Caenorhabditis elegans: one gene and its partners. The protein of the gene in region 1 purifies or fractionates together with the protein of each later gene. This does not show direct contact. Each region holds a gene or a part of one and is shown on either strand. Other genes may lie near its edges. The genes, in order: orc-5, orc-2, orc-4 and orc-3.

Region 1 (6,174 bases):
TTCAATCGTAAAAAAAACCCAATTGAAAATTTGTGATCTCAGCCGGAATGAATTAAGTTTGATTTGATTTAGTGGTGGTTTTCTCCAGATAAACCAAATTTTCCAGTTCTTTCTTTACTATGAAAAATTAGAAGGTCATATTTCTACTTCTTCTTTAGAGCTAAAATTAATTACAAAGTGGTAGACGTCTCGAGAAACTTGAGAAGCATACTTCAAATTAGTAAAAACTACAGTAACCCGATTGGTAAAAGTTGAATTATTGGATGATGTCGCTAAAAATAACCCCTAGGTAAACCGTTTTTGATTGCTAAAATTGCATTGTTAAGTTCAGAATGTAAAACCTTATAAACTTAAATTTCCACTGGATTAGATCGTGGCGAGACCCATTCAGAAAACAGTGCGCACCTTTGAAATCACAACTTTCACAATAAGAACCTTGAATTTAAAACTACAATCTGATTTTCAAAAATTCGAGATTGTTCGGTTTTTTAATTCAAGATTTTTAATATTTTTGTGGGTGTTTTCAGAGTTTTCCGAAACCCACTTCAGTGTTTGATTTCTCTTGTTTACAGAGCATCTATTAATAAGGAAATTTTCTATTGTGCTTGTACACTCGGTTCCCAATCACATTTCGGTTTCTCGGAAAGTTTGAAAAAACGGCGTCATTATCCCTAGAATCAGCAAAATTGGGGGAAATAACAGCTTCCCGGTCTTTTATTTTTCAGATTTAATCCAAATCATAGTGCAGAGCTCGATGAGCACACTTAAAAACAGCATGAAGCCACTTTGGTGTACCTGCTTTTGGTATTTGCAGAAGCTGCAACACATCTGTTGACATCATTAATTGAAATTAGCTGAAAATTGAAAAGAGCAGACACATCAACAGCTGTGCATGCGCTGTCAGTCATTAAAGTTTTAAATGCTTCAGTGGAAAATGGGAAGAAAATTGAACCGAAATAGATAGCAAAAAAGGTTATTATAGATGATGTGAACCGGCTGAAGTTCACCAGCTGCTCATCAAAAAAAAAACTTCTGCAAATTCTGTTGTAAAAACGTCATAAGGGCACAAAAAAGAGAGCTTGCACTCAATTTCTATAGTTCTGAAATTATTGAAAATTCCAAATTCAGGTGAAATTTTCAGATTATATTAGTTTACTCAGTTGTTCCAGCGTGATCAAAAATAATTACGATTTTTGTCAGAAATGACTAATAACGTATATTTTTAGTCTAAGGAACTGACCGATCTTCTACTATTACTATTAAATGTCATGAAGGTCAGGTGGAAATCATTAGAAACCTATTATTTTTAAGTCAACTTTTACTTTTCTACTAGAAACATACATAACAGGGACTACAAAACGTGAGCAGGTGGAATCATTTGAGATGTTCAGTGAGCAAATGTAGCAGGATGAAATTGCACTTTTGGAGTTTTCTTTTCTTAAAAAATCATTCAATATTTCACCAAAACTTTCGCACGGGAACATTTTTTAACACGGGAAATTTCTTGATCTTTGTAAAACCTTATTAGTTGCGATTTGTTATTAACTTAACTCGATGATGCAATATGGGAGTCGAAAATAATGAACGTGAGAACTTAAATCAGTTTGTGTCTACTATTTTCAGATTATGATCCTGTTTTCTTTTGCTATGTAATTTCTTTTTGTTGTGATATTCGAATAAATTTTTCTTTCGAATCAAAAACCCACGTCAATGATTATTTAGCTGTACGGTATTGAATGTGGGATCTCGTATAAAATAACTAAGTAATCATGTAATTTATTTCATAGTTGGTGAGAAGAAAGTGAGATAATTGTACCCGGCAGTTGAAATTTTCAGGTGGCGTGTTCAAGATAATTCCGCAGCTCCAAATTGAGTGACCTGCAAAAATAAAAATTGCACGAAAAAAAAGACTACATAATCGAGTTTGTTTATTTCGTTATTGTTTTCTCAAACAAAACAGTAAAAATATATGACAGGGTATTTTTTATTTTTCAATATCAGTCCTATTTTATTTCCTTTTTTACCTGGATATTTTGAGAGCGCTCTCCAACGAAATTAGACACTTGATCTTCGGAATATCGAGATTGCTTCGATTTGTTACTGACACGAGCCCCATTGAATCGAGAGATGCGATCTGGAACCTTTGGATGAGAAATTTTTCTAGGCGAAATGAAGAGAATGTATAGTGCAACATACAACACTTTTGAGATCAAATCCTGTAATAGTCGATTCATTGATTTTGAGAAGCGTTTCGTAAATACAAATTATTCTTTGAAGATCTGCAGCTTTTGGACCGAGATCTTTGGCAAGTCGATTTTCTTCTAAACGCAGCTCTTTCTTTTCTGATCTCTTTTCTCGGCCGTGGTTCTGAAAAAAACGGAAAATTATTATTTCTGGAATAAATTATGTGCAACCTTTACGAAAAATCGGCAGTCTGATTGATGAGGATTATTGCTGGCACAGTATGCGGCTATGAGAAGATATCTGAAATAAAAATTTACTGGAATTTCTGGAAGAACTACATATTTTCTGTTGAGTATTTTTAGATACCTCATGGCGAGCGGCATGGCATCAAAACTGTTCTCGTTCTCCTTGGCCAGATTCTCTCCGACAACATTCCCGAGCTTTTCTCCAGATGATCTATTGAGGCATTCTTTTGCCAGTGTAGAGTCGAATTTATCGCCGGTTCTCCGCTCATCATACATTAGCCACGCATCAGATATCTGGAATTGTAGTGATGGATTTAACATTGTTTTTAAAAAACTTACAATTGATAGAAGAATATTCGGTGACTTGCAGGCCATGAACAGTGACTGGCAAGCAACGTGAAGAAATTGCGCGTTGATTTTTGGATTTGCACGAGAAATAAGAACTTTGGTAGTTTCTACTGATGGTGCAGGTATGTGAAACTCTACAACTGGAAGATGGCTCAGATTAATGTGATATTGGTTCAAGCAGGATGGTGCACTCGTCACAAATCGAATCGTTATTTCTTGTATAGCTTTGTAAGAATCGAATAAGCATTGTAATGGAACAGGAGGATAGTCTGTTATCGCTTGTGCATTATCAAGAAAAATGACAATTTTTCTATTAGTTTCGTCTGGCCTGAAAATATTTAAAATTTAATTAACAAGAAAATACACTTACCATTGGACATATTTATACAGGTTATCGCAAAAATTCTCAGCTCTGTCACCTCTAGTCTTGAAACCTAAACTCGATGCCAGTGAATCGAATAACAATTTCAGCGATCCATCCGCATAGAGGAAGTCTCCAAGCACACAAACCTATAAAAATAGATTGTGAATTTTGAAATTGTTTGAAATTTTTAATTGTTTTGAAATTGAAGTTGTAAAACACGAACCCAATCGTTTTCAGGTTTTCTCAGAAGTTGACGAACAATTTCACTTCTTCCGCTTCCATCTTCTCCGAAAATGTGGACATGAGAAATAATTCGCGAGTTGTTAAATAAGAGCATTTTTAGACGTCTTATCTCACAATTTTCCATTTTGCTAAAAATAAAAAACTATGATATGGATAAAATGACTGATTTTTCAGCCTTGAAATAAAAACAAAAAAAACTTTCTTCCAGTAAAAACTGTTTTCAAGTTGGCGGGTATTCAATGGAGCAGGTTTACTTGGCTAAACTAAGCGCGATGCGAAATAACGGAGTGTCGTATTGCAGCGCGAACCTTGAAAATAAAATCATTTGCTCTTGAAACTTTGCGATTATTAAAGTTTTGATCGGATCTCCCTCAATTTTTCGGCGCCAAGAATTTATTTTTTGCAAAAACCTTCAATGGAACGATTATTTTCCAACGCAGGTTTCCCTATTTGAATCTTTGCCACATAGACCGGTTCATTTTATTCATTATTCGATTCTTGAACAAAAACAATCTTTTTTTCTTTGGCTTATCGTTATCAAATACCTAACTTTGGAGCTTTATTAATATTCTAGGTTCATTTGTAATTCATCTTTTAACGTCTGTTCTTCATTCATCCTAGGTGACATATTTAATCGATATTACCCTTCGCGATTCCCCCCTCCTACCACCAAGCACCATCTTGGTGTGGGGGAGTTGCGCTCCGTTGGACAATCGCTGCACGCGGAACATTCGAATCCCATTTGTCGATATTCTTGTATTTAGTGCAAACAATTCTTAATAGGCTCCTCACGTGACCTTAACATGTTCGCCGTGTAGAAACTATTTACACGTTGTGTTCTATTTAGATAAAATCATAACCTTTCTGTCAGATTTTGTAAAACGTCCAGTATTTCTCAACTTACCAATTTTCTACTAGCAATCAAAGGTTCTTTCTCACTTTTTATTTTATTATCTCTTGGAACTTGCAAACAATCGTTTATTGCAGCGAAAGGCCTCAATATGCTAAGAGCCACCAACAACAGACGAACATCGAATAATGTGGAAAAGGATAGCCTCCAGGTACAAGGTGTTTACAAACTAAAAACTATAATTATCATTCAGATGGCTAAGCACGGAAACGGACCATTGAAGCCCGTCAATGCGCAAGGTCTTCAGACGAAAAGAGAAGCTCGAGAGATTCTTGCACTCAAGCCATCCAATCCAGCTCCAGTCGAAACTGCGCAAAAGTCACAGAGAATCAACCTCCAGGATGCTGAGACTAAATGTCTTGCTATGGCCGACGACATATACAAGTATCTCGTTCATCACGAGAAAAAGTATCTTCTTGAGGAGTGCTTCATGGAGGGAGGAGAGCCCACTCCCAAGATGCGTCGCATTCTCGTCGATTGGCTTGTCCAAGTTCATGTTCGATTCCATCTCACACCTGAGACACTTCACTTGACTGTCTTCATTCTGGATCGCATGCTTCAGAAGAAGGTCACCTCCAAGGCGGATCTTCAGCTTCTTGGAATTTCAGCTATGTGAGAGTTTTTATTCAATTTTAAAACGTAACATATAGGGATTACTAATTGTGTATCCTTTAAAAATGTTTTGTTTCAGGTTCGTTGCCTCCAAGTTCGAAGAGGTTTACCTCCCAGACATCCACGACTACGAGTTCATCACTGAGAACACATACAGCAAGAAGCAGATCTTGGCAATGGAGCAAACAATCCTTAACTCGTTGAACTTTGACTTGTCCTGCCCATCTTCGCTTGTCTTCCTCCGCTGTCTCTCAAGAATTCTCTCCGAAAACGATGCCAGCCCAATCGATAATCAAGCTTTCTGTTATACTTACAATATCTCCAAGTGTCTCGGAGAGCTCGCACTGCTCGATTCGGTTATGGCCTCGACCCCAAGGTCCCACATTGCTTCTGCTTCGATGATCATCGCTCTTGAAGTTCATCCTGTTGACGGAATCGAGGCGGAGAATGCTGTATCGGTCATTTGGTACATTTTAAAGCTTATATTTTTATTTTAATATCAACATTTTTAGCAAACAGCTCGGAGCCTCTAAGAAAGTCATTGAGGATGCTGTCGCTTTGCTCGCCGAAGTCTCGTATAAGAACTTCAAACAGGGGAAGCTTGTCGCTATTAAGGTATTGAATCATCGAAGTATTCCAATAAACATAATTATTTGCAGAATAAGTATCAATCAAGCAAGCTTGCACAAGTTTCCAACTTGATGACCGACGACGTACTCGAGAAAATCAATCGGATGGGCCAGAATGCAAAAGTGGACGCATCAGAAATGGAATGAGCACTTCGATCCGAAATAAACATTTTGTACCATTCAGTCTTTCTTGATTCTTATGTTTCTTCCTTCATTGCTTTTCTTTTCGGCTCCTTTCCATTTTTTAACTCCTCCAGTCGTTTCCACGTCAATCTGGTCACACCCGTACATTGATTGTAAATTGGTGAACATTCGTTGAGCGACCATACACCACCTCCCATATTATTCAATTTGTCCATTTTGAAATTTAAAATTTCACTAAAAATTTTTATCACAACTTTTCGCGCCCTCTTTTGTATCGATCTCGTATTTAATTATTGAAACCACACTGCTGTAAGACTCACCGTCCTCATCTCTGTTGTTGTAACTAGAAGGACCAAAAACTTTCTGATGAAACCTATGTGCTATTAAATTTTGTTAAATGGAATTACTATAAATCATGTACTAAATAAGTGATGGAGTAGTCTGAAGGTTCTAGGGGGTCTCCTGCGCAATGACGCGACGAACTTAAACCAGTCA
Region 2 (8,446 bases), on another chromosome or scaffold:
TTTTTCCTTGTCGTTTATTCACAGCTGCGGCCGACTTCATGTACTTGCCGACTCCAGTTCCAACTGCTTCTGGTTTTGTTGCAGTTTCTTTAGCTTTTTTATTTGCTAATGAAGCTGCGTCCTTAGAAGCTGAAAATAGATATCATTAGTTTTAAAATTAGTAATAGAATTAAGAAACTTTTCTTCAAAATCTCTGCTCTCTCAGCTTGAACTTCTTTCTCAGCTTCTTCAAATGGATCCACAAATACTTCAGCTCTCATAATAACAACTGAAACCATCGGAACATCAGTTCCCTCTTCAGTTTCCAACTTTTCAATCGTCGTTAGTGTATCCTGTCCTCCAACAAGTCTCCCAAAAATTGTGTGCTTTCTGTCCAAATACTTGCACGGCCGGAATGTAATGAAGAATTGTGATCCGTTGGTGTTAGAGCCCTTATTAGCCATCGAGAGCACACCTCGAGCATCATGGGAGAAACCGGAGATGAATTCATCTGAGAATGGCTTATCCCAAATTGATTCTCCACCATGTCCTGTACCAGTTGGGTCGCCTCCTTGCAGCTGAAATTTTTAATTATTTTTTGTTATAACTTTAACTATTTTTATAATAAATTTACCATAAAGTTTTTAATTAACCGATGAAATTTGGTGTTATTATAATATCCATTCGAACAATGTGTGATGAAGTTTTCACAGGCCTTCGGAACTTTCGGCGCGAATAATTCCAGATTCAATGGCCCAAAATTTGTAACAAGCCGCACAAAAGCATTTTTCTTAACTCGGCTGTACCGAACTGTATCATTATCCAAAACAGCTGCTTTATTGCTTGTAACTGGAGCCATTACAGTGGATGTGAATCCAGCTGCGACTTTTCCTTGACTATAATGTGCTGCATTGATCTCATCGGCAGTTTCATCAGTTTCTGTGGAGCTCTTCTTTGGGACATATTCCTTATCCAATTGATCAAGAACTGATTTGCAAGCATTATTCATTCGTCGAATGTAGAATTTTGGATCTTTCATTGCATCTTTTTCTTTTTTAATCTCTTCTGACGTCTTTAAATCAAGCTTCACGTGTAGAAACTGCTCCATATTGAATTTTTCCAAATGATTTGGGTCTTGAAGATCAATTATATCAGCTCTTGTGAACGGAACATCGGTTAGAAGATCCTTGAGATGATTTCTTTTTAAATTCAATTCTTGCACGGCTTCATGAGAATAGACGTTTCCGGAAGTAGCGATGGCCAGAATATGACTGTGGTCCGTGAATGTTCTGAATGTAACTGGGCATCGGAACTTTCCATCTTCTCCTTTATCGAATTTCAAGTGGATTAGATCCTTGGCAACCAACGGTTTTCCTGTACACGGGTTTTTGCCATGCTTCTTCAAGTAAGGAACGATAGCACTGAAAATTTTTTAATAAAAAGTAAAAAAAATAAACAGAAATTTACGTTAAATCGAAAATTTCTCCTGATCTTGCGCAAACTGGGTCTTCAAACGGTAGAAGTGACAGCGAGCAATGGTTGATGGGTAACCTTTTGAACTGTGCTCTTTGGAGTCTTGTTCCAGTATCTGAAATATGAAATTAAATCTTGTTTTTATTTATAACTCGTGTTTAAATAAAAACCATCTTTATGTCCTCCAATCGATTTCCATTCAGAAGTGGTCAGATAGAGTTTATCTTTCTGATGTTGCTTTTTTCCCATTTTATCTGAAAATAATACAAATAAATACTAGTTACATTTATGTAGTTATTAAGCTTAATTAAAATGCCGATTGTTAAAAATTGCGAAAACAAATCGGCTCGTAAATCTACACGAAAACCTAGGCCGGCGGCCGCCAGCCACCTCGGGTCTCGCCACGATCACATGTCGATTTACGCGCTCAATTTCATTGACTATTGACGTGGATTATCTTGTTTCTCAATGTTTTTCCTCCATTTAAATTGTTTTTCAGAGATAAATTTTTAATTTTATAGGTAATATTAGCAAAAGAGAGGATTTGCAATAAGATGGCAGACTTTGACACTGTAAGTTTCATTTGCAGCTTATTATTGAAGTTTTTTTTTTTTAACTAAAAAGCGAAATTTCAGAATCCAACTTCTCTGTACAGTATCAAAGGAATTGTGATTCTTGATCAGGATGGAAACCGTGTTCTTGCCAAGGTTTGTCGTTTATTTCACAATTACCATACAAAAAACTCGAAAAAATATCGATTTTCAGTACTACGACCGTACAACCTTTGGAACTGTCAAGGAGCAAAAAGCTTTCGAGAAAAGTCTCTTCTCGAAAACTTCCCGCAACACTTCAGGTTTGGCTGATTTTTTTTTGATGAAAACAATAAAAATTAAACATTTTAAGCCGATATCCTGCTTCTCGACGGAGTGACTTGCTTGTACCGCTCGAACGTTGATCTGTACTTCTACGTGCTCGGATCGACCCGCGAGAATGAGCTTTTCCTCGACGCAACTCTCACCTGTCTCTACGATGCTGTGTCTGTCGTTCTTCGCAAAAACGTCGAGAAGAAGGCTCTCATCGATTCCATGGACACTATCATGCTGATTATTGACGAAATCTGTGATGAAGGGTTATTTTTTTTTATTTCTAAAAGTATTCAACTGATTTAAAATAATTATTACAGAATTATCATGGAAACTGACGCCCAGGCTGTCGTCCAAAGAACCGCTCTCAAATCCGACGAAGTCTCATTCTCCGATCAATCCGTATCACAAATCGGCTTCTCGTTCATGAAATCTGCCAACGAGCAGTTCAAATGGTCTCTTCTCAAGTAAATGGAATTCTATAAATTATTTAATTTAAAATGTGATATTTATAATCTCTCCAATACTCTTTTGTGAATTAAAATGAATAAACCTCGGATAAAATGGTGTTTTCATTGTAAAAATTGTTGATTTTGTGCTGTTTTTGTTGAGTTTTTGGTTCGTTTTCTTAACGCCTAACTATATTTTCAGTTTAAAGCTTAACATTTCCTGCATGAATCTAAATATCTATTTTTCAATTTTAATTTCAGAAAATGCCACGGCCAAAAATTTTGAAACGAGCAACTGTCCAGCCCAGTGCCGCCGTTCCTGTGAAAAAATCGACTCCAGAAAAAGAAGGATCCAGACAGAAAAAGACGAATGGAAAAGAGAATGCTTCTAGAAATTTGCAATCAAATTTAGAAGAAGATTTGGAACAACTGGGCTTCGAGTATGTATCTATTATCCAGATGAATTCTTGAGCAAAACCGGGTCTCGACACGGCAATTTTTGTTGAAAACAAAACGGGGGTGCGTCTATAAGGAGTGCTGTATTATCACAATATGTGTTCTTAAAGGCGCACAGATCTATTCAGGCGGGTCTCTGCGCGGAAAACAGTATCGTAGTATTTTCTTTTTCTTTAAATTTTTCCGGTTTTTTAATAGAATAATAGAAGGAGAACTAAATACAAAAAACGGAGTAATTTCTTGAAAAATGAAAGTAAAAAACTACCATAAAATTTAAAAGTTTTTCGCGCGCCGAGACTCATCTGAATGATTCGGTGCGCCTTTAATAATGGTAGGCCAAAATTTCGTTGCGGAATTTCCATCGATTTTTCATTGTTTTTTGTTAAAATTTTTTTTAAATAAACAAAAAACTAGGATAATTAAAAGCGCATGAATTTTAACGAACAATCGATAAAAATTCCACAGTTTGAAACTACAGTACTCTTTAAAGGCGCACACCCGTTTGTAATTCAAAAAAAATTGTCGTGCCGAGACCGGGAATTTTGGCGCAAAAATTAGAAAATCTTCCATCTAGCTAAAAATAAGTACATTTTCGAAGCAAATCAATCATTTTTCCAGGGATGAAACTGTATCAATGGCTCAATCAGCAATCGAAAATTACTTTATGCAAGGAAAATCGGCGTCAGAACGAATGAATAATGCGAAATCCCGTCGTGGAAGACGTGCTGGAAATGGAAATACTGAAGAAATTGAGGAAGACGATGAGATCAGTAATGCTATCACTGATTTCACAAAATGTGATCTCCCTGGACTTCGAAATTATATTACCAAAAAAGATAACACGGAATTCGAAAAACGATTGGAGCATCTCGCGGATAATGATTTCGGAAAATGGAAGCTTTACCTAGCAGCTGGATTTAATATTCTTTTGCACGGTGTCGGTTCGAAGCGTGATGTTCTCACAGAATTTGAGAATGAGCTATCCGATTATACATATATGAGAGTGGATGCACGGAAAGATGGGCTCAATGTAAAAGTTCTTCTTGGAGCTATCAATGAGAATATGAAGCTGAATTGTAATGTGAAGAGAGGCCAATCTACGATTAGTTGGGCTCGATCTATTCGCAGAAAAATGAATAGCCAACAGTTGATTCTTATCATTGATAATATTGAAGCTCCTGATTGGAGGTGAGGGGAATTCGCTTTTATTTATGTATAAAAAATTAATTTTAATTAATTTCAGAAGTGATCAAGAAGCATTTTGCGAACTTCTTGAGAATCGGGATTCGGTGAAATTGATTGCTACAGTTGATCACATTTACTCGACGTTCATCTGGAATTCGGTGGGTATCTAAAATTTTAATTTTCGAAAAACAGAAAATTATATTTTTTTGTTATTTAAAATTATTTTTTTCTGTAGAAATTTATATATTTTAGTATGTTTTTTGTTCATAAATATAATAAAAATTTGACAGAGAGAAAAATAAGAGAAAATAAGAAAATCTTAAAAAAATCGAATTAATATTTAATCTGAAAACGGCAAAAAATCGAAAAAAAAACAATTTTGAAAAACAGTCAAATTTATGGCAAAAAAATTTTAAAAAAATCGCTACAGTTGATGGCATTTACTCGAATTATAACCCACTAAAAACATTAAATTTTTGAAAATAACGATTTTTAGATTTTTTTTTAGATTTTCCGAAAAATAGCTTTCAAATAAAATAAAATATATTGTAAAAATGTTTAGTCAATTTTCTTTTGAAATTCTCAATTTTTCCGGAAAAATCAAACAAATTTTTTCTACTTTAAAAAAAAACAAGAAAAATTAGAAAAAACAAACATTCTTAAAAAACATTTTTATTAATGCCAAAAATATGGTTCTAAAATGAAAAATATTTATTATAAACTTTTTTGAAATAATTTTGAATTAAAAACTTTTTATTCATAAAGGCATGGTATAATTTTAGAAATGTAACAAAAAAAATTGTAATTTTTCTATTCTAAATGTGTTTTTATAATTTGTATTTGAATATTCCAGAGGTTCAAAAATATTTTAAAAATTAGAAAAGTTATTTCCAGTTATTTATCTTTTTTTATTTCAGCGTCAACTATCATCACTCTCATTCGTTCACATCACAATCAACACCTTCGAAATTCCACTTCAAGAATTAATGACTGGAGATTCTCGTCTTCTTGGTCTTGATGCTCGTTCGAATCAATCCTCTCATACAATGTCATCGCTTGATGTGTTCTGGAAATCTCTTGCCGTCAATTCACAAAAATTATTCCGTCTCTTTTTCCAAATGTACTTTGACACCAAGAAGCCTGTCAAATTCTGGGATTTGTTCAATGCGGCAAAGTGAGTGGAAAAAATAAATTTTTTCGATTTTTCAGTTTTCTTAAAGCAAAAAATTCAAAACTGGGAATATTTGAAAAAAAAATTCGATTTTTCCCCTTTTTTAAGCATAACCAAAAAACGGAAACTTTGTTTAAAAAACCGAAAAAATCATAAATAATAGCAACCTTTAAAAAACTTTGATTTTTAGAGTTTTTGAGCAAAAAAAACTGAAAAACTAATTATTTTTGATGTTTTTGGTTTTGGGCAGAGCGGGAAATTTTTTTAATTGAAAATACCGACAAAAAAATCTAATTTTTTTCGATTTTTCAATTTTTTAAAGGCCAAACCGAAAAACCTGCAAGCTTGCACAAAGGATGCCCCGAAATATTTTTCGATTTTCGGTTTTTTTTGTGCACAACCAAAAAATTTGAAAAAAAAACCCAAAAACACTAATTTTCGTTCAAAAAAACCGAAAAAAATCTGAAAAAACTTCAAAATTGGTAATTTTTTGAAATAATTTTTTTTGTTTTTCGATTTAAAAAATCCTAAAAATTCCAGAGATGATTTCATTGCTTCAACTGACGCTGCTCTTCGAACCCAACTTGTCGAATTCAAGGATCATCGGGTTTTGAAGTGAGTATCCCCCCCCCCCCCCCAAATAGATAAATTCTCATCTTCCAACCAGATGTCGTTTGCTTATTCAAATATTTCAATTTCAATTCCAAAATTTCTCCAGGTGGACCCGTGGTGATGACGGAAACGATCAGCTGTCGGGCATTGTCGAATTACGATTAGTGACCGAATTTCTCGAATCGAAGAACATGCCGTTAGACGAAAAGAAAGACGAGTAGCTGCTGCTACTGCTGGAGGACCTCAAAAATGAACACACTCTGCCTCCTTTTGACTCAATGTATTTACCTTCAATTGTTTTATTTGTTGACTCTGCGCCCCCCGTCCGTCCGTCGATGCTTCTTCATCCCATTTTTTTTTACTTCAATTGAAACCTCAATCTTCACTTACTCTCATCTGAACGCTCATATTTAAGGCAATAATTTTCATTTTCAAATATATCAATTGAAACCTTTATCTACCGTAATACCAATTTTGTGTACCTTTTCAAAAATCTCATTTCCCCCTCGGTTTTTTCTTCACGATTTCTCAATTATTTTCAGTTTCTCACTATCAGTTTCACATTCCCATATTTGAATGAATCTCATTTTCCAAGTTTTCCCTCTCTCACCATCAAAAACCAAATCCTCTCCCTAGAGTTTCATGGATGTAGTAATATGATACTCTTTCCTGCTCGCCTTCCCCCCAAAAATGGGCTCACAGGTGCCTTTGTTCTAGCTTTTTTAATTGGAAAATTCGGATTTTCCTCGCACATTCTCCCCTAACTTTTTTGATAGAAGCTTTTTGAAATGACAAAATTTTTGTGTGTCTTGGAAGTTTTTGTGTCACTTTTTTCTGTCAAAAATGTCTCCATAGAAGCTCGCAGAGATTAACGATGAGCACTTCCGGCCCACTAGGCTCAGAAGAGCAGTATATCATGTTCCTTTTCTCTTTTTTTTTGCTTGCTGACTCAAGTCAATCAGTATTTAGGCAACAAGGACGAGAAGGACTTTGAATATTTGAATGCGATGAGCATTTTTAAACTTTTTTTTGTTTTTTTTTCATATTATCGCTCTCAGGAACAAGAGAATTTCGAACTCTACAGGAACTGGATCTCAATATTATGGGGACGCAGAACGCGCTCCACGGCCAATTGGAAATGCCCCGCCCCGGAACCATGGGTCTCGTTAGGTGTTTGGCGAGAAAACCGGGAATTCAAACTTTTCCTAATAGTCTCGTTTATTTTTTATTATATTTTCCGTTGTTTCAATGGTTTTTATGCCAATATTGATATAATAAAATTCAAAAACTTCATATGAATTTTTAAAACATCAAGACCCATATAAAAATTACTAAAACCAATGTAAAACATATTTAAAAAATCGTCGAAAAATGATTTAAACATTCGAATTTCGAATTCCCGGTTTTCCTAATATTACCTAACGAGACCCATCCTACTGGGGCGGATCGTTCCGTTGGCCTTAGAGCGCGTTTACGCGTAGACATCAAAAATGGTCAAGATCAAAAATTGTCAGAGAACCCTCTATATAAGTGTCAGTTTTTGTGTCATTCTTCTATGAATTTTGAATTTCTTTGCACTTGTACTTTTCAACTTTCTCTCTTCGTTTTGGCAGAAACTGAAAAAAAAAACTTTTTTCTACAAAGTTTCGTACTTTAATAAAGCTTTCAAATATTTGTATTAACCCACGTGTGGGCGTTCGAAATTGCTCTAAAAGTTCTAAATTGTACTTGCTTATTAAAAATGAGTTTGGACAAAAAATCCCCGCTGGCGCTGCTCCACCTTTACATGAGCACGTGAGTTCCTGTTCGACCCCTCATCATATTTTAATCCAAAACCGTCACGCGCAAATGGTATAAAAGAGCCATGAATCTATCAGGATGGGTCTTGAAGCGAAAAGTTCCGAAAGGCTTTCTCAATCTAGTCGGAAGTTGAAGCAAATTTGTTATAGTCTTATTATTTTCTAAATTCAATTTTTCGTGGTGAGACCCTTCAATTCCCCGATTGTCGACCAAAAGTTCAATTTTTACAGTGTTATGTCTCTTTTAACAGTCCTGACAATTATTTTTTTCTGATTTTTGGTTCACAGAAACCGGAAGCCCAGGCCTTCGCTAATAGTCCAAAAACACGCGCTGAAAAAGAAATCTCCGATCTTTAAGCTTCCAAATCCAAAAATTCCTCTCTCCCATAACGGGATTCCATCAAAAATGCATTCATCTATTCATTATCTGAAGCTTCCAAAAGTGCGAGTTATCCTTCT
Region 3 (7,431 bases), on another chromosome or scaffold:
TTCCACGAGCAATTCCACCGATAATAAGGACCAGAGGCTCGTCGGTTTCCGGTGCAACAAGCTTATTAGCCATTGTTAGCTCAGGTACATTGAACGACATGAGCATCTTACGGGATCCCACTGGAAGATGGTTCGACACTGGATTCTTCACTACTGACATCAGCTTTTGAGTGGTTTCGGCGGCTCGAATGGAGAGTTTGTGCAGGAGTTGGACTGAAAATATGGAAAATAGAAAATAGGGGGATTTTGCATAAAAATACCTAATTGCAAGAAAAGTCACAAAAAATCCAATAAAAAGTATTTTAAAGCATGTTTTTGAAAATTGGATTTTTGTGCTCTTTTTTGTGAATTTTTTTTTGATTTTCAGACTATTTTGGGGTATTTTGAATCCGGGTATTTTTAAAAGGAAAAGGGTATTTTTAAAAATTTATGTTTAAATTTGATAAAAAATAATTTTTAAAAAACTCGAAAAATTGTCTTTTTTCTTATTTTACATACAAAAACACTTCAAAATATATTTTTTTCAATTTCCAATAAACCAAAAACTCACCCATAAGTCCACAGAATCGATCAAAAGTTCTTGGAATTCTGCACTGTGGTGAGACATCAACGAGCACATTCTTGCTCGTTCTAAAGAAGACACGAAGCTTTCCGGCTCTGTTAAGCGGACTATCAAGTAGATTCAACAAGCATTGATGTAGGATATCTGGCCGATAATCAGCCGGATCTTTTTTCTGTTTTCTCAGAAAATTCGCGTGTTTATCACTGCTCAAAATTGCGTATTCTCCACCGACTTTTGCAGTTTCAAGACTACATCCTTCCAGTACAACGTACAAAATCTTCTTGTCCTCCAATTGATTATCCGTCTTCATGCGCTTCGCATTTGGCGGTGCAACTGTATCGTACTCGTGGGACATCTGAAATTCGGAGAAATTAATTTTTTTTGTCATAAAGTAATTTTTTTAGGACCAAAAATCGAATTTTCAATAATTCTGATGAAAAAAAAATTATTTTCTGAATAATATTGTGATTTTTTATAGTTTAGCACAAATTTTAAATAAAAGCTGTGGGAACAACGATAGGTCGTTCTGTAAAATTTTCGAAAAAATGCCGCTTTTTTGGAAATAAAATTGAGTTTTTCGACTTTTGGAAAAATTTCTAATTTTCCATATCTATCAATATAGGAATATACATAATTTTTGATAAATTAAAAGTTTTCACTTCTTTTTTCGTTTTTCGATATTTTTTCGTCAAAAACACTGAAAAATTTCTGCGGAGAAAATGTAAGTCGAAAATCAAAAAACTCAAAAACTCAAAAACGAAAAAATTTGTAAATTTGAACGGTTTTTCAAAAATTTCAGTGAGTTCCTTTTTTTGTCGAATTTCCCCTAAAACATGAAAATTTAACTAAATATTTTATTTCGGGATTTTTGAATTAACGAAAAATGGTTTTATTTTATTTTTTCGATTTTTGAAGCTCCTGTAAAGATTTTTATAAAACAAGTTCAAAAAATAATATGATGGTTTTTAAACCGAAAATAATTCTCACAGAAAAAAAAACTCAACAAAAATATAAATATCGAGATCAATCTTCATTGCAAATAGTACAAAAAATATCAAAATTACTTCAAAATAGTCATAAAAAAGTCGGAAACAACTCGCGGGAGCTGCAACTTCGAGATCGAGTCCTCCACAATTTTATCATTGATATGAAGCCAAACTTTTCTGAAAAAAAAGAGGATTTGAGGTGAATTTTTCAGCTGAAAAAAAAACCCACCGAAACGAGGTATTTGTCACATTTGTGCTCTCGTCTGCCTTCAAAATTCCCATTTTAACGAGATGATCCAATTCTCGGAATACGTAGACATCACTGCTCACGTTCAGTGGAGGATAGTGTTGATTAACGAGTTTTTTGAATTCTGAAATTACGGAGAAAATAGATTTTTAAAAAATAAGCTTAAAATTTTCATGTTTTTTCTCATCAATATAATCGAAAATTAGATTTAAAAAAAATCATATTTTATGGTTAATTTTCTGAACATTTTCTTAATTTTTCGGAAATTCAAAAAATCGAAAAATTTTTCGTTTTTCAATTTTTAAAAATTCGAAAAATCGAAAATTCCGAGATAAATTTTAAAAAATACCTAGAAAAACGTTTCGATACGAAGTTTTTGGCGCCAAAAGTGGTCCATCTGACTCTTTATTCTGCACAAGTCTCCAGACACAAAGAAAAACGCATTGTGCTCGAACTGTTTGATCTGAAAATTTGAAAAATTTTTAGAATTTCACTGGAATTATTAAATTTTTGAGCCGAAAAAACAGTATATAATTAGTTTTTTCTAGATTTTACCGGATTTTTTTAATTTTTCAGAAAAATTTCAAAAGCTGTAAAGATTAAAATAGGTTTTGATTGAAAATCACGATTTTTGCATGATTTTTTACATTTTAAAGTTGTTTAAAATTTGAAATTTGTTCCGAAAAAAAAAGGTAAAAAATTACTTTATCAGCTCAATTTCCAGATTTGAAATCAGAATTTTTAATTCTTTGCGGAATTTCAAAAAGTGAACTTGAATTGTTCATTTTTTGTTTTCAAAATTAGAAAATCGTGGGTTTTTTCTGCCTTTTTCAAAGTTTTAGCAGAATTTCTACCTTTTAAAATCAACAATTTTCCATTATACGAGGGAGAAGTCGTCTCGACAATTTTACGAATCTGTTTGCTGATTTCCTCGGGTTTCCACGTGTCTTCTACGTCACAATAGTAACCGAAAAGCATCAGGAATTGCGCGGCCAATTGTTTCAGAACGACGTAGTGACTTGTCTGAGAATATGGACTTTAATGGGGGTTGAAAAGCCGAAAAATATGATTTTATTTGTTTTATTTTCATTTTTGGAATGAAAATGTTATCCAATTTAATTATCGTAAGATTGTACGGATATCTCATGCTAAATTGGCTATAAAATCATGAAATACCCTCGCATTTTATGAGAATTAAATTGGATAACATTTTCTTTCTAAAAAGAAAATAAAAAAAAACAACTACAATTTTTGATGAAAAAAATCAAAAAAAAAGGTGGAAAATTTGAGTTTTTTCAGCTTTTTCGTGAAATTTTCAGCTTTTAAGAATGCTTCTTCACCAAATCTCACCTCAAAAACCGGCCTAAGCCATGTCTGAAAGTTCAAATTCTTCACAAATCTCTTATAGCACTCGGATTCTTCGCATTTTGAGCCGCCAGGAATCAAAAACTGCGTCAACGCTGCACAATACTCCTCATAATCGTGTGTCGCGTCAAATGACACCTGAATTTTCGGAATTCTCGACGTCGCCTGTTTCTGAAGGTTCTGAGCGAAATCGTGTCGGGAAACGGAGAAAAAGACGAGCCACGAGAAGTGTGTCGCCTTGTCAACCATCGTGTAGAGGAACTTTTGCTGCTGTGGAGTGATTAATTTGTCGGCGTCTCGCACTAAAAACACAAAATATCCTTCGTCATCCTCCTTTGCGAGTTCCTGCTGATAATTTGGATCGGCGGCAACGAAGCCTGCGTTGATTACTCGTAATTCCTTGTGATATTTGTTGAGAACCTTCCGAAGTGTGCTTTCTCGGCCGCAATTTCGTTCTCCTGCAATGAAAATCGATAAAAAATTGTTGAAAATTCAATATTTAAATGGAGAAAACTGCGAAATTTTGTATAATTTTGAGTACATTAGATGACGTTTCAATAAGGAAAATGAGCAAATTAACAACTTTATTTTTAAAAAATCAACAAAAAACCGTGCCGCACTGTCATAATGGGCTCAAAAGACCGAAAATTAAGAGATTTCTCGCAAAAATCTAAAATTTTAGGCAAATTTTAAGCCGGAAAATGAGCCGAAATATGCATTAAACTATATTAAATTATTAAAAACTATGTTCGAGCTGAAGCCAAAAGATAAATTAGGAGAAATACCAGATTTACCAAGATTCCGCTTTTTTTCGAACTTTTTCGGTCGTTAGAGCAGATTTTGAGGCGACAATAAATTTACCTTCAAGAAGAGCACATTTTCCATCTTTCGACTGCAGAAAATCATAGACAATATTCTCGATTTGCCTGAAAATAGATAAAATATTTGGGAAAATCACAAATTTTCAATAGCAAGTCCAGTGGGGCGCGCTTGCATCAGGCACTCACCTCTCTTGTTCCGTTAGTCCGAAGACCTGATCGTCGAGCAAATCAAGAGCTCGCCGAGCATTTTCCGCTACAATTTCTTGATCGGAAGGTGATAGCATTCTGGGAAATGTTTAACAAATTATTTTGATAAAAATTTAGAAGAAAAAGTATAAAAAACAGGTGGAAAACTGCTTGGTGATTGAAATGACTCCGGTAAAGTCACAGCAAACTCAAAGTCCATATTTTATTTTAATTGGAATTTTAATGCAAAATAAGTCAAAAAAGAATCTAAATAGAACGTCCTTGGAGGATAACACATAAATATAAAATTTAAATTGAATAAATCGATTTATTCTTCTCAATCGCCGCTTTGATCGCCTTTTCAGCTTCCATCGACGTCATTCCCAGCTTCACACGTCGATTCATCATTCCGTGATCTCCTTTCGACAGATTTATCAATGAAGTGCTCGCCAGTTGAAGGAGCATTCCGTAGGCGAAGCTATCGGTGGCCGGGCCGATTCCAGAGACTTCTGAGCAGATTATGCAGTAGTTTTTGTAGATGTTTGCGAAGATGATCTCCTCTTGTTCGCGGGTCTACAAAATATTCAATTTTAGGAAATGTTCAAATTTCAGAACAGTTCAAGGTTTTTTGCACAAATTTTAAATGATTTCCTTACTAGTTTTTTCTGAGAAAATTTAAAAAAACTGGAAAAAAGTATGGAAAAATGTGGTGATTTTTTGTATAAAATAGAGAAATGAGTGGAAATTATTGAAAAACTTGGAATTTTTTCTTTGCACACTAACTTTGCTCCGAAAATTAGTAAAAATTCTAAAAAGCGATTTTCTTTCTACAAATTCAAATTAGCCTTAACCATAGATTCAATTGTCCGGAACAATGTGAATTGATGAAGCCTTAATCCCTTTACAAGACGATATTTAAGAGGTTCCAGCACCGCATTCTGAGCAGCAATCACATGCGACAACTCGAGCTTTTCCGATTTTCTCTCTACTGCAACACGAATCGCTCGACACAGAAAATCGAGAGCCTGCCGTAAGTCTCCAGTGTTCATAGCGACCTTCTTGGCGACAAGTTCAACAGCTTTCGGATCAATTAAATTGGATCCTTGGAGCCTCGCACGCACAATTTCCTCGATTTGCTCGTGTTGATAAGGCTGGAATACGAGGCGACGTTTGTCAAGTCGACTAGCATTCCGTTGGCAAAGCATTCGTTCCGGGAAGTCCAAAGTGTTGGCAATACCGATAATAGTGACTTTAGATTGTGGAAGTGCTGTCCATTCAAAGATATCATAGAGAACATCTTGTTTTCTATTGCACAGACTATCCAGTTCATCGATTAGCACAACAATTGGCGGTCTTTTCGGATCTTCTCGCTTGAAAATTGAGTTGAGCTCTTGGCGAGCAGCGGTAGCTGTGATTTTTGCTCTTTGAGGCTTTTTCGAGATGTTGTACTCTTCTTGGATGCTGAAAAATATTGAAAATTTCAGTATTTTTGCGTACAAAAACGATTATTTTACAAAAAAACCGATTTTTTAGGGTTTTGAAGAGAAAAACCCCAAAATTTTCAGATTTTTGAGGTTTTTCTAACATCCTATCGGGAAAATGTTCAAGGTTTCACGAAATTCACTACTTTAGATCATTTTCATAAAGTAAAAACTAGCAGAACCCACTGAAATTCGTTTTTTTATCGACATTTTAAAGTTACTTTTTTGCGTTTTTTTATAATTTTAAGTCGAAATTTTTTTAAAGCAAGGAAAATACGTCTTTTTAAGCAGTTTTTTGACAGTTTTCAGCATAATATTTTCTTTAAAAACTTGCGATTAAGCTGAAAACTGTCTAAAAATGCTCAAATTGATCCATTTCCAAGCTTTAAAACAAAAAATTCCCCGTTAACTTATGAAAAAACTCAGAAATTAGCCAACAATTTTCGAAAAATTCGAATTTCGGAGGATTCCGCGCAAAATTTTGAGCATTTTCCAATGAGTTCTGCAGTTGTTAGATGGAAATTGTTCGATTTTCAACTTTTCCGAGACGTCCTTACCCGTTGTAAATCTCTACGAATACAGTTTTTTTGAAGATCATCGCATTGACCTCGACGTACACGAATTTCTGACACTTTTTGCTCTTTTTCATCGAGTTGACGACCTGAAAAATAGAATTTGAAAACCAGAAATTTGGAAAAATAATTTAAAAATTAAGTTTTACCGCTCGAACAGTGGCTGTCTTCCCTGTGCCTGGAACTCCACTAATATACATTGCAGAGCTCTCGCCACGTTTTGGATCAATAACTTCTCGAATGAATTTCTCAATTTCTCGAGACTCAATATCTCGGCATGGGAGCTTCTCGGGCACCTTTGAGAGATGAAGCCTGCTCGCCAGCTCTTTCAGAGTTGAAGCCGATCGGGAATCCAGTGGATCCACAAGATCTTCGAGTTCTTCACTGTTCTGGCGTGCCCTTCTACGGGTTCTCAGTGTTCCACCTGGCGTTTTGCTGATCACTAGTGGAGTTACTTTCTGGGTTATCATTTTTGAAGGGATCTTTATTGTGATTGGTGTTCTTTTGTTAGTTTTCGAATAGAATTTCTCGTCAATTTCATCGCTGAAATCATCTTCATCGTCATCATCTTCTTCTTGAAATACTCGAGCTTTATTTGTTTTCCTTGAAATCTCAACTTTTCGAGGTGATTTACTCTCTTTGAATAGAGTTTTTGAAGTGGAAACTTTCGACACTGAAGCTTTACTTAATTCCCGAGCAAGCCTCTTCGATGGAGTCTCTTCAAGCCTTGTCGGAGTCCTGCTTCTTGTAACTCTTCTATTTTCTTTATCACTGCAGCTATCTTCTTCTGAGAAATTCTCGCCGATTTCATCGGAAAAATCGATTTCCATTTGATTATCGTGATCTACGGCTTTCAGCTCGTCTTTTGTCGCGGCGTACTCATCTTCTCCATCAGAATCTGAAGATGATGAGGACGAAGAAGAATCCGATTTATATGTGCATTGTGGAGCTCCTCTGAGGCGAACGGAGCTTCGCTTTACGATTTTAGGAGCTGATTTCGGGAGATTAGTGATTCTTGTCGATCTCCGCTTGACTGGAGTGGCGGATACAGTCTTTGACGTTTCAGATTTGCGAGTATTCATTGTGAGAAGCTGAAGGAACGATATTTTTATAATAAAAATCGACAAAAACCAGAGAATAATGATGAAAATGCGCGAAATCGAGGAGAACGCTTTCGAATTCAAAAGTGGCGCTCTCTGCGTACACGACGG
Region 4 (9,923 bases), on another chromosome or scaffold:
TCGTTATCACTCATGAGGAACTGGGAGCAATTGGAATGAGTAGCTTGAAGAAACTGGGTTATGTCTGTAATGCTTCCTTGACTCTTTTTATACGCCGTCTTAAAGGGGCGGGACTGGAAAAGAGTGAATTGATAAGATAGCAAACGTCCTGGACGGAAAATAAGAGTGAGGGAGAGGGGATTATTTTGCTTGATTTAGTACTGAAAGTGGCGTGTAGGCGCCTGCAATTTTGAAAAAGAGTCAAAAACAATTGCAATCATGCTGAACTAAAATTAAAACCTGTGTGAATGAAGGGCGGGACTGGAAAAGAGTGAATTGATAAGATAGCAAACGTCATTGGCCGGAAAATAAGAGTGAGGAAGAAACTTGGGAAAATTTCGAAATATTTCGGTTTTTCGTGTTCGAAAATTTTCGAAATTCGAAATACAAACGAACAAAGTAAAATATTATTTTATGTTATAAATAGGGATTCCATCTCGGCGCCGCTGCGGCGCCTTCGCCGGCCGATGAGGCGCCTCAAACAGCCTCACGCCGCCACAAACGCCGCAACGTATCCGCATGTACAGTGCGGCGCGGAACCCAGAATGTGTCGACCGCTTCCTAATAACCACTTTTTGAATCACGTTGCGCAAAATAGAATTGCAAAACTACGGTATGCAGCCGTAAATCCTCCCTACGCATACACCGGAGCTCACGCCAATATGCACAGCGCGGCGACCGGCGACGGCGAAGGCCGGCCGGCGTGAGGCTGGCGTGAGGCGCCGTCGCCGCACCGCTCTCACATGGAAGCCCTAGTTATAAACAAAGGACAAAATCGTCAAAAAAACCATATTTGAAGTGCGCGCCTATTTTGTTTTCATATTATCAACAGAGCGAACAAGCAAAACCCAGCTGAAAACAAACAATTTTTGTTTTCGATAGCTCGAAAGACAGATTAGTCGAAGAGAAAACCCCAGTTGATGTTCGTGTTTTGGCGTCAGCGGAGGTGGAACTACTTTTTGATTCTGGCAATGATAGGACACACATGACCCTAGTTTGTTCTGGCATGATAATCAGATCCGAGCAAAATTCCCGATATTGTCACAAATTGCGAATCGATATTTGACGGCTCCAGCCTCTTCCGCAGAAAGCGAGCGAGTTTTCTCTGGAGCTGGTCGAGTTTCTACAAAATTGAGACAAAACATGAATACCATATCATTGAGTCAGTCTGTTTTTTTTTTCTTTTTTTACTCTTCCATTTCAATTTATGAGGGAAGCCAGAATTTCGTGTTTCAAATAACTGCGGAAACCCGAACGTGTCGGGCGCGCTCCAATTTTTGGCTCTTACGTCGAATTTCAGCTTCACAAAAAAAAACCCAAAAATAATCAATACACAAAATTCATTCGAAAATCTTCGCAAAAAAATAAAAATAGTTCAAATATCGGGAATAAACGAAATCGGATGGTACAGAACGTGAACATTTGTCGACTTTTTGTCGACGGCTCCACGAATGAGCCCAATGTGCTCGAGTTGGCCGGCGGCGGCGAAAAACGCGCCTTTCGCTGATTTTCGGCTCATTTGTTGTACCTGCAAGTTTGGAGGTTTTTAGATGGTTTTTAGGTGTGTCTGCCTGGGTAGGTAGGCAGGTAGGCAGGCAGGTAGGCGGGTAGTGAAGCAGGTAGGTAGATAATGTAACTAGGCAGGCAGTCAGGTGAATTGGTAGGCAGTAGGGCAGGAGATCAGGAAGGTAGGCTAGTAAGCAAGTAGGTAGATAAGCGGTTAGTGAGGCAGATAAGTAGGTAGGTAGGTAGGCAGGCAAATAGGCAATTGGGCAGGCAGGTGGGCAGGCTTGTAGGTCTGTAGACAAGCAGGGAAATAAGCACGCAGAAATAAAGGGCCGATAGGCAGGTAGGCACTCAAATAGGTCAGTAGGTAAAAAGGCAGGTAGGTATATAGGTAGGTAGGCATGTAACTAGCCAGGTAGGCGGGTGAATTGGTAGGCAGTAGGGCAGGAAGTAGATAGGTAGGCAGGCCAATAGGTAGGTAGATACGTAGGTGATTGAAGAGGTGGGCAGGCTTGTAGGCAGGAAATTAGGTAGGTAGGTAGGCAGGCAACTAGGTTTGTGGGCAAATAAGCAGGCAGGCAAGTAAGTAGGCAGGTAGGCAGGCAGGCGCGTAGGCAGACATCAAAAACCGTACATTTCTGAGAAAAAGCTCCGCCCACTCGGCCATCGGTACGGATTTGAAGTTGCGATGCGTCAGCAGGCACCTCCACGCGACGGAAATTGGCATTTTTTCGAATTTTTTCGCGTTGAGCATCGCATTTTCGATATCGTACTCGTCGGACGCGTCCAGTGACGTCTTCGTGACGTCATCGATCCAGAAATTGGCGCCGATGACGTTACGCCACGTGGAGGGGTACGGTTGAAGGGTGGTCTCGAAGAGATTCTGTAAAAAGGTTTTAAAACCTATTTTTGAAGGGTGGCCGAACTTTTTCATCCTGGGAAAAGTTCGGCCACCGGATAAAATTACTGTTTTTCATCGATTTTCGTTGATTTTCCAAGGTGGCCGAACTTTTGCGAACTTGAAAAGTTAGGCCACCTGGGAAATTGCTTGTTTTTTCTTGAAAATTGGTGAAAATTTCAGTGTTTAATGAATTTTCATTGATGGCCGAACTTTTGCAAACTTGAAAAGTTCGGCCACCAGTTGGATTCGCTGGTGGCCTAGCTGCAAAAGCAAATGTTTAGAATTTCCACATGTGGCCTAACTTTTCGAAAGGTTCGGCTACCACTCGAATGCTTCTTTACAAAGTGGCCTAGGTTTTCTTGCTAGCAAAAGTTCGGCCACCATCTGATAAACTGGGTTTTACCGATTTTTCATCGGTGGCCGAATTTTGGAAACTTGAGAAAGTTAGGCCACCAACTCTAAAATTACTGGGTTTCACGTGTCTTTTGATGACCGAACATTTACAGGAAGAGGAAAAGTTAGGCCATGACCTAGAAACTTTTTCACAGATGGCCGAACTTTTCCACCTTGCAAAAGTTCGGCCACCGACTGAAAACAGCCGATTTTTCGCGTTTTTTTCACTGAAACCCTCAGTTTTCCATCATTTTTCACTGATGGCCGAACTTTTCCACCTTGCAAAAGTTCGGCCATCTACAAAAATAGCCAATTTTTCGCGTTTTCTCATTGAAAATTTCAATTTTTCATCACTTTCCACTGGTGGCCTAACTTTTTGTTCTTGAAAAAGTTCGGCCACCGACTGAAAACAGTAAATTTTTCCCATTTTTCACTGAAACCCTCAGTTTTCCATCATTTTTCACAGATGGCCGAACTTTTCCACCTTGCAAAAGTTCGGCCACCGACTGAAAACAGCCGATTTTTCGCGTTTTTTTTCACTGAAACCCTCAGTTTTCCATCATTTTTCACAGATGGCCGAACTTTTCCACCTTGCAAAAGTTCGGCCACCAACTAAAATCGCCGGTTTTTCATCGATTTTCATTGTTTTTTGACCAATTTTCCTCAGTTTTCGTACCATAACATGCGAAAAAATCGCACTTTTCGCACTTCTCAGTGGGTTCTGCTGCTTGGCCGTCATAGCCGATCGGCGCTGCTTCTGCATCTCCAGGAAGCTCATTTTTTGTGTCGTTGTTATCGATTTTTCCGGCGAAATTTCCGACTTTTCTGGGTTTTGCTCAGCGGAGATCAGATTTTCGCGTAGATTTTCCAATTTTTCACAGAATTTTGGGTCAATTGGAGTGATTTTTGCCAAAAATCGACGCAAAAATGAGTGCAAATTGGTGGAATTTCCGTCAAAAATCGCAGATTTTCGTTCTTGAAATATCGATTCGTGGCGAATTTTCGTCCAAAAATCGCCGCCATCCGACTGAATTTCCACGTGGCATCGCAGATTTTCAGCCAATTTTTCGTCGATTTCGGCCGGATTTTCACCAAATTCTTCGAGAAACACACGGAGCACACGGTCGTATTTTTGGAGCTCTGCGTCGTGAGCATCTTCTCGCCAGAGGGGATCCTCGAGATATTTCTGAAGAAGAGCCAATTGGATGGCACGAGAGAGTGCAGAAATCGAGTAGTCGCAGGCGAAAAATCGATTTTTTAGGTATTTCATGAAGGGTCCTGCAAGTAGAAAATTTGAGAAAAATCGATAAAAAATTGATTTTTTTTTTCTGGTGGCCGAACTTTTGCAACTTGTGAAAAGTTCGGCCACGTGTGAAAAATCGTTTAAATCGATAAATTCGGTGAAAAATCGATATTTTCAACAGGTGGCCGAACTTTTCATCACTTGCAAAACTTCGGCCATTAGCTAAAACATCAATTTTAATGATTTTCGGCGATTTTTCTTTTTTTTTTTTGCAGATTTTTCACAGGTGGCCGAACTTTTTCAGCTGATGAAAAGTTCGGCCACCTGTTAAAAACATCGATTTTTACTGATTTTGGCGATTTTTCATTGGTGGCCGAACTTTTGCAGAATGGGAAAAGTTCGGCCACCTGTTAAAATATCGATTTTTCAATAATTTTCATCGATTTTAATGCTTTGAGGCGATTTTTCACTAATTTTAGTCGATTTTAGTGCTTTGATTTTTCACTGGTGGCCGAATTTTTTCAGAATGTGAAAAGTTCGGCCACCCGCTGAAAATTCGGTTTTTCACTGATTTTTATCGATTTTAATACTTTTATGCGGTTTCTCACTGGTGGCCGAACTTTTCCAACTGATGAAAAGTTCGGCCACGTGCTGAAAACTCGATTTTGTACTAATTTTCATCGATTTAGACGATTTTTAACAGGTGGCCGAACTTTTGCAGGTGGTGAAAAGTTCGGCCACCAGTTAGAAATATTGATTTTTACTGATATTCATCGATTTTAATGCTTTTAGGCGATTTTTCCCTGGTGGCCGAACTTTTGCAACCTGTAAAAACCTCGGCCACCACTTTTTTTTGGGCGGGAAATTCAAATTTTCCACACATTGTTTACCTGAAAAAACGGCCGGAGCGCAGTCAAAATTGTTGAGCAGTGCCGGATCGTCTTCTTCAATATTTTTTGGCGGTGGGCGGGGCGGCAAGAAGTGGGCGTGGCAACCGGTAGCAATTATTTTTGAAAAAATGTCGTCGAGTTTGGTGAACTGGAAAAAAATTGGCGGTTTTTGGGAGATTTTTTCCGAAAATTTTTGAATTTTCAAGCGGTGGCCGAACTTTTCATCACCTGCAAAAGTTCGGCCACCTGTAAAAAATCTTCAAAATCGATAAATTCGGTAAGAAATCGAGTTTTTAGCAGGTGGCCGAACTTTTGCATTTCGTGAAAAGTTCGGCCACCTGCTAAGATTTTTTAAAAAATAAATTTTTATAGATTTTTAAAATAATTTTCATCGATTTGGACGATTTTTCACTGGTGGCCGAACTTTTGCAGTTGATAAAAAGTTAGGCCACCACTATTTTTTCAGCGGGAATTCAAAATTTTTGCAGTTTTTACACGAAAAAATCGAAAAATTTGAATTTTCCTTGATTTTCTCCAACTTTTCCGAGTTTATTCTTCAATTTTCAAGCGATGGCCTAACTTTTCTACACTGTGCAAAAGTTAGGCCATGGCCGAAAAGTAGTCGAAAATCACCCTAAAATGCGTCAAATCCATCAAATTTGCCGTCTCAAGTCCGCAATTTTGCGTAAAAAACGCTGGTGACGTCGAGACACACGTCATCAGTTTGATACGTGGAATTAGACGGCGACACGTGGAATTTGAGAAGAGAAGAGAGACGAGAGACGCAAAGAAATTGGGACGGAGAGATTCGAATTGACGAATTATGATGACGTGGCATGTTGTTGAGGACGTGTTCTGAAAAATTTGAAATTTTTTAAAAATATGGTGCGTTGCGGTCGCGTCGCGGTCTGGAAAATTTGAATTTTTTAAAAATTTCGATGCGTTGCGGTCGCGTCGCGGTTCGGAAATTTGCCTTTTTTTCGTTTAAAAATCGATAGTTTTTGGGAAAATTTGAATTTTCCTGAATTTTAGGTGCGTAGCAGTCGCGTCGCGGTTTGGAAATTTGGTGTTTTTCGTTAAAAAATCGATAATTTTCCGGAAATTTTGAATTTTAAATAAATTTGGATGCGTTGCGGTCGCGTCGCGGTTGACGGAAAATCGATTTTCTCGACTTTTTTTTTTTGAATTTCAGGTGCGTTGCGGTCTGGAAATTGGTGTTTTTTTCCGGAAAAATCGATTTTTCCTGGTTGTCGAGCAAGTTCAAAACCAAAAAAAAAATCGAAATTCGTCATGCGTTGCGGTCGCGGTCGCGGCTACCTTCTCCAAAATCCGATCAATAATCTCGTGAATCGCGTCGTTCTCCGTCACCAAGTGATCCCTGACTTCCAGATTTTCCGTGGATTTTTCCAGTAATTTCTGCCGAAAATCACCAATCAACCGGGAAATATCCGTAAAATTACACTGAACCAGAGCACATTTTAACGTCCCAATCGGCTCATTCGGCGAAAAAACCGAAATTCCCTTCGTTTTCGACGATTTTCCGGGTTTTTTAAGGATCCAAGTGGCGATTTCGTTGGTTGCCGTGTCGTAGATGCTCGCCGTGGTGTGAGCCATTTTTTCGTCGAATCTCGTGACGTCATCGACGAAATTTTTGAAAAATCTGGAAAAAAAACCGTTTTTAGTGAAAAATTACGTTTTTTTTCAGTTTACAGTTTACTTCAAATTCAAACTTAATAGTGTAAATTAACAATTTTCAGTTGAAATTTGTTTAAAAACCCACCTCCTCTCCTGTTCCATTGAGCAAAACTCAAAATCCTCGGGAAACTCGATTGCCTCGTTGATTTCCGCCTTTCCTAGCTTTAATTTCTTGTTTCCGCGGTGAAAAGTGATGCCGGGCGTCATTTTTTGACTGAAAATTGGCAAAAATTGATGGGAAATGGCTGAAAATCGACGAAAAACCCATTCAAATTCGAATTCCGCGCCCAGAAAAAACTGAAATTGTACAGTGGAGCGCGCTTGCATTATTGCATTTTTAGGTGAATTGTACCGATTTTACCGAAAAACAGAGGTTTTCCGTGTGAATTTTGGGTTTTTTCAGGTAAAATTGTTGAAAAAAGACGTAAAATTTTATGAGAACTGCGTTTTAAACCCCTTTTCTTGTAAAAAACCGGAAAATTTCGTTGAAAAATCGATTTTTGCGGCAAATTTCTTAAAAAATCGAAAAAATGCTTCAAATCTTCAATTTTCGCCCGCGAAAATCGTCGAAATATCAGAAAAAATGCAATAAATTCGAATTTTTAACACAAAAAGCGCTAAAAATTCAAAAATTTCATCGAAAAATTGATTTTTGCGGCAAATTTCTCCAAAAATCAAAAAATGCCTCAAATTTCCAATTTTTGCCCTCAAACCTTGGAATATCGCAAAAATAAGCATTTTTTCGAATTTTCCACAAAAAAACCGCTAAAAATCCAAAAATTTGGCCAAAAAATCGATTTTGGGGCCAAATTTTTTCAAACTTCGAAAAATGCCTTAAATTTTAAGTTTTTGCCAGCGAAAATCGTCGAAATATTGAAAAAATTCGCGTAAATTCAAAATTTTCACATGAAAACCACTGAAATTTCAAAAATTTTGTCGAAAAATCGATTTTTCTCTCAAAATCCTCATTTTTTCGCGAAAATCTTTTTAAAAACCTAAAAAAAATTATTTTTTTTATTTTCGAAAAATCAATTTTATTCCAATTCACAGACCAAAAAGATTCTACAGAGAGATAAATAATAAAAAATCAATTTAAAAAAATCGATAATTAGCAGGTGAAAACGTGTGGGCGGCTCGGTGTAGATAGAGAAATCTGAAAAAAATCAATAATTTTTCCCGAAAAATCGATAATTTTGGGTCGATGATAGTCAACTAACTGATCAACACACACTGACAAAATTTCATAGATCGGCGAACAAGATTCCGGGGATACAGAAACCTGAAAAGGGGGCGGGGCCGAGCGAAAATTGGGCTTAAAACGGCCTATTTTCAGGCCCAAAAAATCTGAAAATCTGTAATTAGAGGGGCGGTCCACTCACCTGCGAATCGCTGAAGGAAACGTACTTTTGGTGGGGAGCTAACAAGAGAAGATTGTGCAAAAATTTGGAGAATTTTGGGTCCCGGCACGACGGCGGCGGCGGCGGTCTAGTGGCGCTGAAAATTATCGATTTTCGAAGAGAAATTTCGGGAATTTATCGATTTTCTGGTATAAAATGTGGAAATTTATTGATTTTTTACAGGAAAAATGTGAAAATTGTTAATTTTCCAGCCAAAAATCGAGATTTTTTCCCGAAAAATTTGAAAATTATTGAGATTTTAGTGAAAAAGCCGAAAAACATCGATTTTCGAAGAGAAATTTTGGGTTTTTTATCGATTTTTTACAGGAAAAATTAGAAAGTCAGTGATTTTTTAGTTAAAAATTAGAAAATTATCGATTTTTCAGTTAGAAAAGCCAAAAATTTTCGATTTTTACAAAGTCTTGTTCGAAATTTATCGATTTTCCAGTGAAAAATCAAAAGATTATCGCTTTTTCTAAAAAAATCCCCAAAATTTATCGATTTCCACTTGAAAATCGGTATTTTATCGATTTTTCAGGGAAAAAAGCAAAAAATATCGATTTTTGCAGGTAAATCTTCAAAATTATGCAATTTTCAGTCAAATTCCATGGTTTTCATAAATTTTAACTGAAAATTCTGGTTTTGCGGTCATTTTTCGCGAATTTTCAGTTAGGCTCCATGTTTTTCATGAATTTTGGCTGAAAATTCTGAATTTCCGGTTACTTTTCGCGAATTTTCAAATCAAATTCCATTTTTTGGCTCAAAATTCTAATTTTTATGTCATTTTTCGCTGATTTTCAGCCAAATTCCACTTTTTTCATGAATTTTGGCCGAAAATTCTGATTTTCAGCCAAAATCCCGTGAATTTACGGAATTTTGACCGATAATTCTGATTTTTGGGTAAATTTCAGCGAATTTTCAGCCAAATTCTGTGTTTTGGCTGAAAATTCTAATTTTTCGGTCATTTTTTGGCGATTTTTCAGCCAAATTTCATGGTTTTCATGAATTTTGGCTGAAAATTCTGATTTTTAGGTCATTTTTCGCGAATTTTCAGTCAAATTCCATTTTTGGCCGAAAATTCTGAATTTTCAGGTTATTTTTCGCGGATTTCCAGCCAAATTCCGTGTTTTTGGATGAAAATTCCGGTTTTCCGGGTAATTTTTCACGAATTTTCAGTCAGTTTTCAGGAGAAAACCGTACTTTTCGCTCTCTATCGGATCTTTCCGATCTTTCTGATCTTTCTGATCTCTCCGATCGATGCCGATCATCTCTCCGGTGCTCTTTGTGCTCTCTGTGCTCTCTGTGCTCTCCACGATGATCCCGGTGCCGATGATCTCTATGATCCCGGCTGCTCCGATGACTGTGATGGTGCTGCTCCGTAGATCGTTTCCGATCCGCGCCTCGATCCGTAGATCGGCTTCTCGAACGTTTTCGCTTCATCTCAGCCTTCTGCTGACTCGTCTGCATTTCCAGTTCGATTGTTTTAATTGTATCGGAGATTTGTTGGTAGGCAATGTGCAATTTTCCGGTTAAATGATCGTCGACACGCTGTGGAGCATCGTTTTGGAGCATGAAACAGCCGCAGATTTGACACACTTGCATTTGCCGGTTTCCTGGAAGATTTTTGAGTGAAAATAGTGGAAAAATGGGCTGAAAATCGTATTTTTCGAGTGAATTTAGTGGAAAAGTGTTCTAAAAATAGGCCTAAAATGACAATTTTGAGTAGAAAATTAGCTTAAAATGGTTAAAAATCGTATTTTTCGAGTGATTTTAGTGGAAAAATGGTTAAAAATCGTGTTTTTGAGTAGTTTTAGTGGAAAATTAGCTTAAAATAGATTAAAATCCGTATTTTTCAATGA

The links.
Region 2: the proteins of orc-5 (region 1) and orc-2 purify together in Caenorhabditis elegans (affinity purification with mass spectrometry; one study listed by BioGRID). This does not show direct contact.
Region 3: the proteins of orc-5 (region 1) and orc-4 purify together in Caenorhabditis elegans (affinity purification with mass spectrometry, with the first as the bait; one study listed by BioGRID). This does not show direct contact.
Region 4: the proteins of orc-5 (region 1) and orc-3 purify together in Caenorhabditis elegans (affinity purification with mass spectrometry, with the first as the bait; one study listed by BioGRID). This does not show direct contact.

What each region holds. Positions count from the first base shown.
Region 1 is NC_003282.8:10,731,071-10,737,244, forward strand, and holds orc-5 (Origin recognition complex subunit 5 C-terminal domain-containing protein), read right to left. Parts: upstream 3,519-6,174; 5' UTR 3,509-3,518; coding exon 3,365-3,508; intron 3,288-3,364; coding exon 3,148-3,287; intron 3,106-3,147; coding exon 2,769-3,105; intron 2,724-2,768; coding exon 2,551-2,723; intron 2,485-2,550; coding exon 2,415-2,484; intron 2,368-2,414; coding exon 2,197-2,367; intron 2,135-2,196; coding exon 2,025-2,134; intron 1,879-2,024; coding exon 1,833-1,878; 3' UTR 1,762-1,832; downstream 1-1,761. Other genes in the region: cyb-1 (G2/mitotic-specific cyclin-B1), read left to right, coding at 4,386-4,445, 4,488-4,906, 4,986-5,372, 5,419-5,521, 5,566-5,682.
Region 2 is NC_003280.10:10,870,906-10,879,351, forward strand, and holds orc-2 (Origin recognition complex subunit 2), read left to right. Parts: upstream 1-3,025; 5' UTR 3,026-3,028; coding exon 3,029-3,204; intron 3,205-3,838; coding exon 3,839-4,408; intron 4,409-4,463; coding exon 4,464-4,563; intron 4,564-5,322; coding exon 5,323-5,579; intron 5,580-6,116; coding exon 6,117-6,191; intron 6,192-6,294; coding exon 6,295-6,409; 3' UTR 6,410-7,029; downstream 7,030-8,446. Other genes in the region: cyn-4 (Peptidyl-prolyl cis-trans isomerase 4), read right to left, coding at 1-129, 179-557, 614-1,400, 1,447-1,567, 1,623-1,701; copz-1 (putative coatomer subunit zeta), read left to right, coding at 2,007-2,024, 2,088-2,159, 2,218-2,305, 2,356-2,581, 2,636-2,786.
Region 3 is NC_003281.10:10,643,005-10,650,435, reverse strand, and holds orc-4 (ORC (Origin Recognition Complex) subunit), read right to left. Parts: upstream 4,267-7,431; 5' UTR 4,266-4,266; coding exon 4,168-4,265; intron 4,087-4,167; coding exon 4,022-4,086; intron 3,620-4,021; exon of another isoform or gene 3,619-3,619; coding exon 3,146-3,618; intron 2,819-3,145; coding exon 2,650-2,818; intron 2,259-2,649; coding exon 2,145-2,258; intron 1,920-2,144; coding exon 1,778-1,919; intron 1,726-1,777; coding exon 1,623-1,725; 3' UTR 1,575-1,622; downstream 1-1,574. Other genes in the region: emg-1 (Ribosomal RNA small subunit methyltransferase nep-1), read right to left, coding at 1-213, 551-917; orc-1 (Origin recognition complex subunit 1), read right to left, coding at 4,477-4,740, 5,019-5,628, 6,206-6,309, 6,370-7,302.
Region 4 is NC_003281.10:1,205,091-1,215,013, reverse strand, and holds orc-3 (ORC_WH_C domain-containing protein), read right to left. Parts: upstream 6,882-9,923; 5' UTR 6,875-6,881; coding exon 6,753-6,874; intron 6,633-6,752; coding exon 6,290-6,632; intron 5,828-6,289; coding exon 5,606-5,827; intron 5,121-5,605; coding exon 4,973-5,120; intron 4,118-4,972; coding exon 3,516-4,117; intron 2,429-3,515; coding exon 2,180-2,428; intron 1,568-2,179; coding exon 1,415-1,567; 3' UTR 1,364-1,414; downstream 1-1,363. Other genes in the region: Y119D3B.21 (Protein KRI1 homolog), read right to left, coding at 1-14; Y119D3B.12 (LUC7 related splicing factor homolog), read right to left, coding at 8,153-8,161, 9,265-9,677.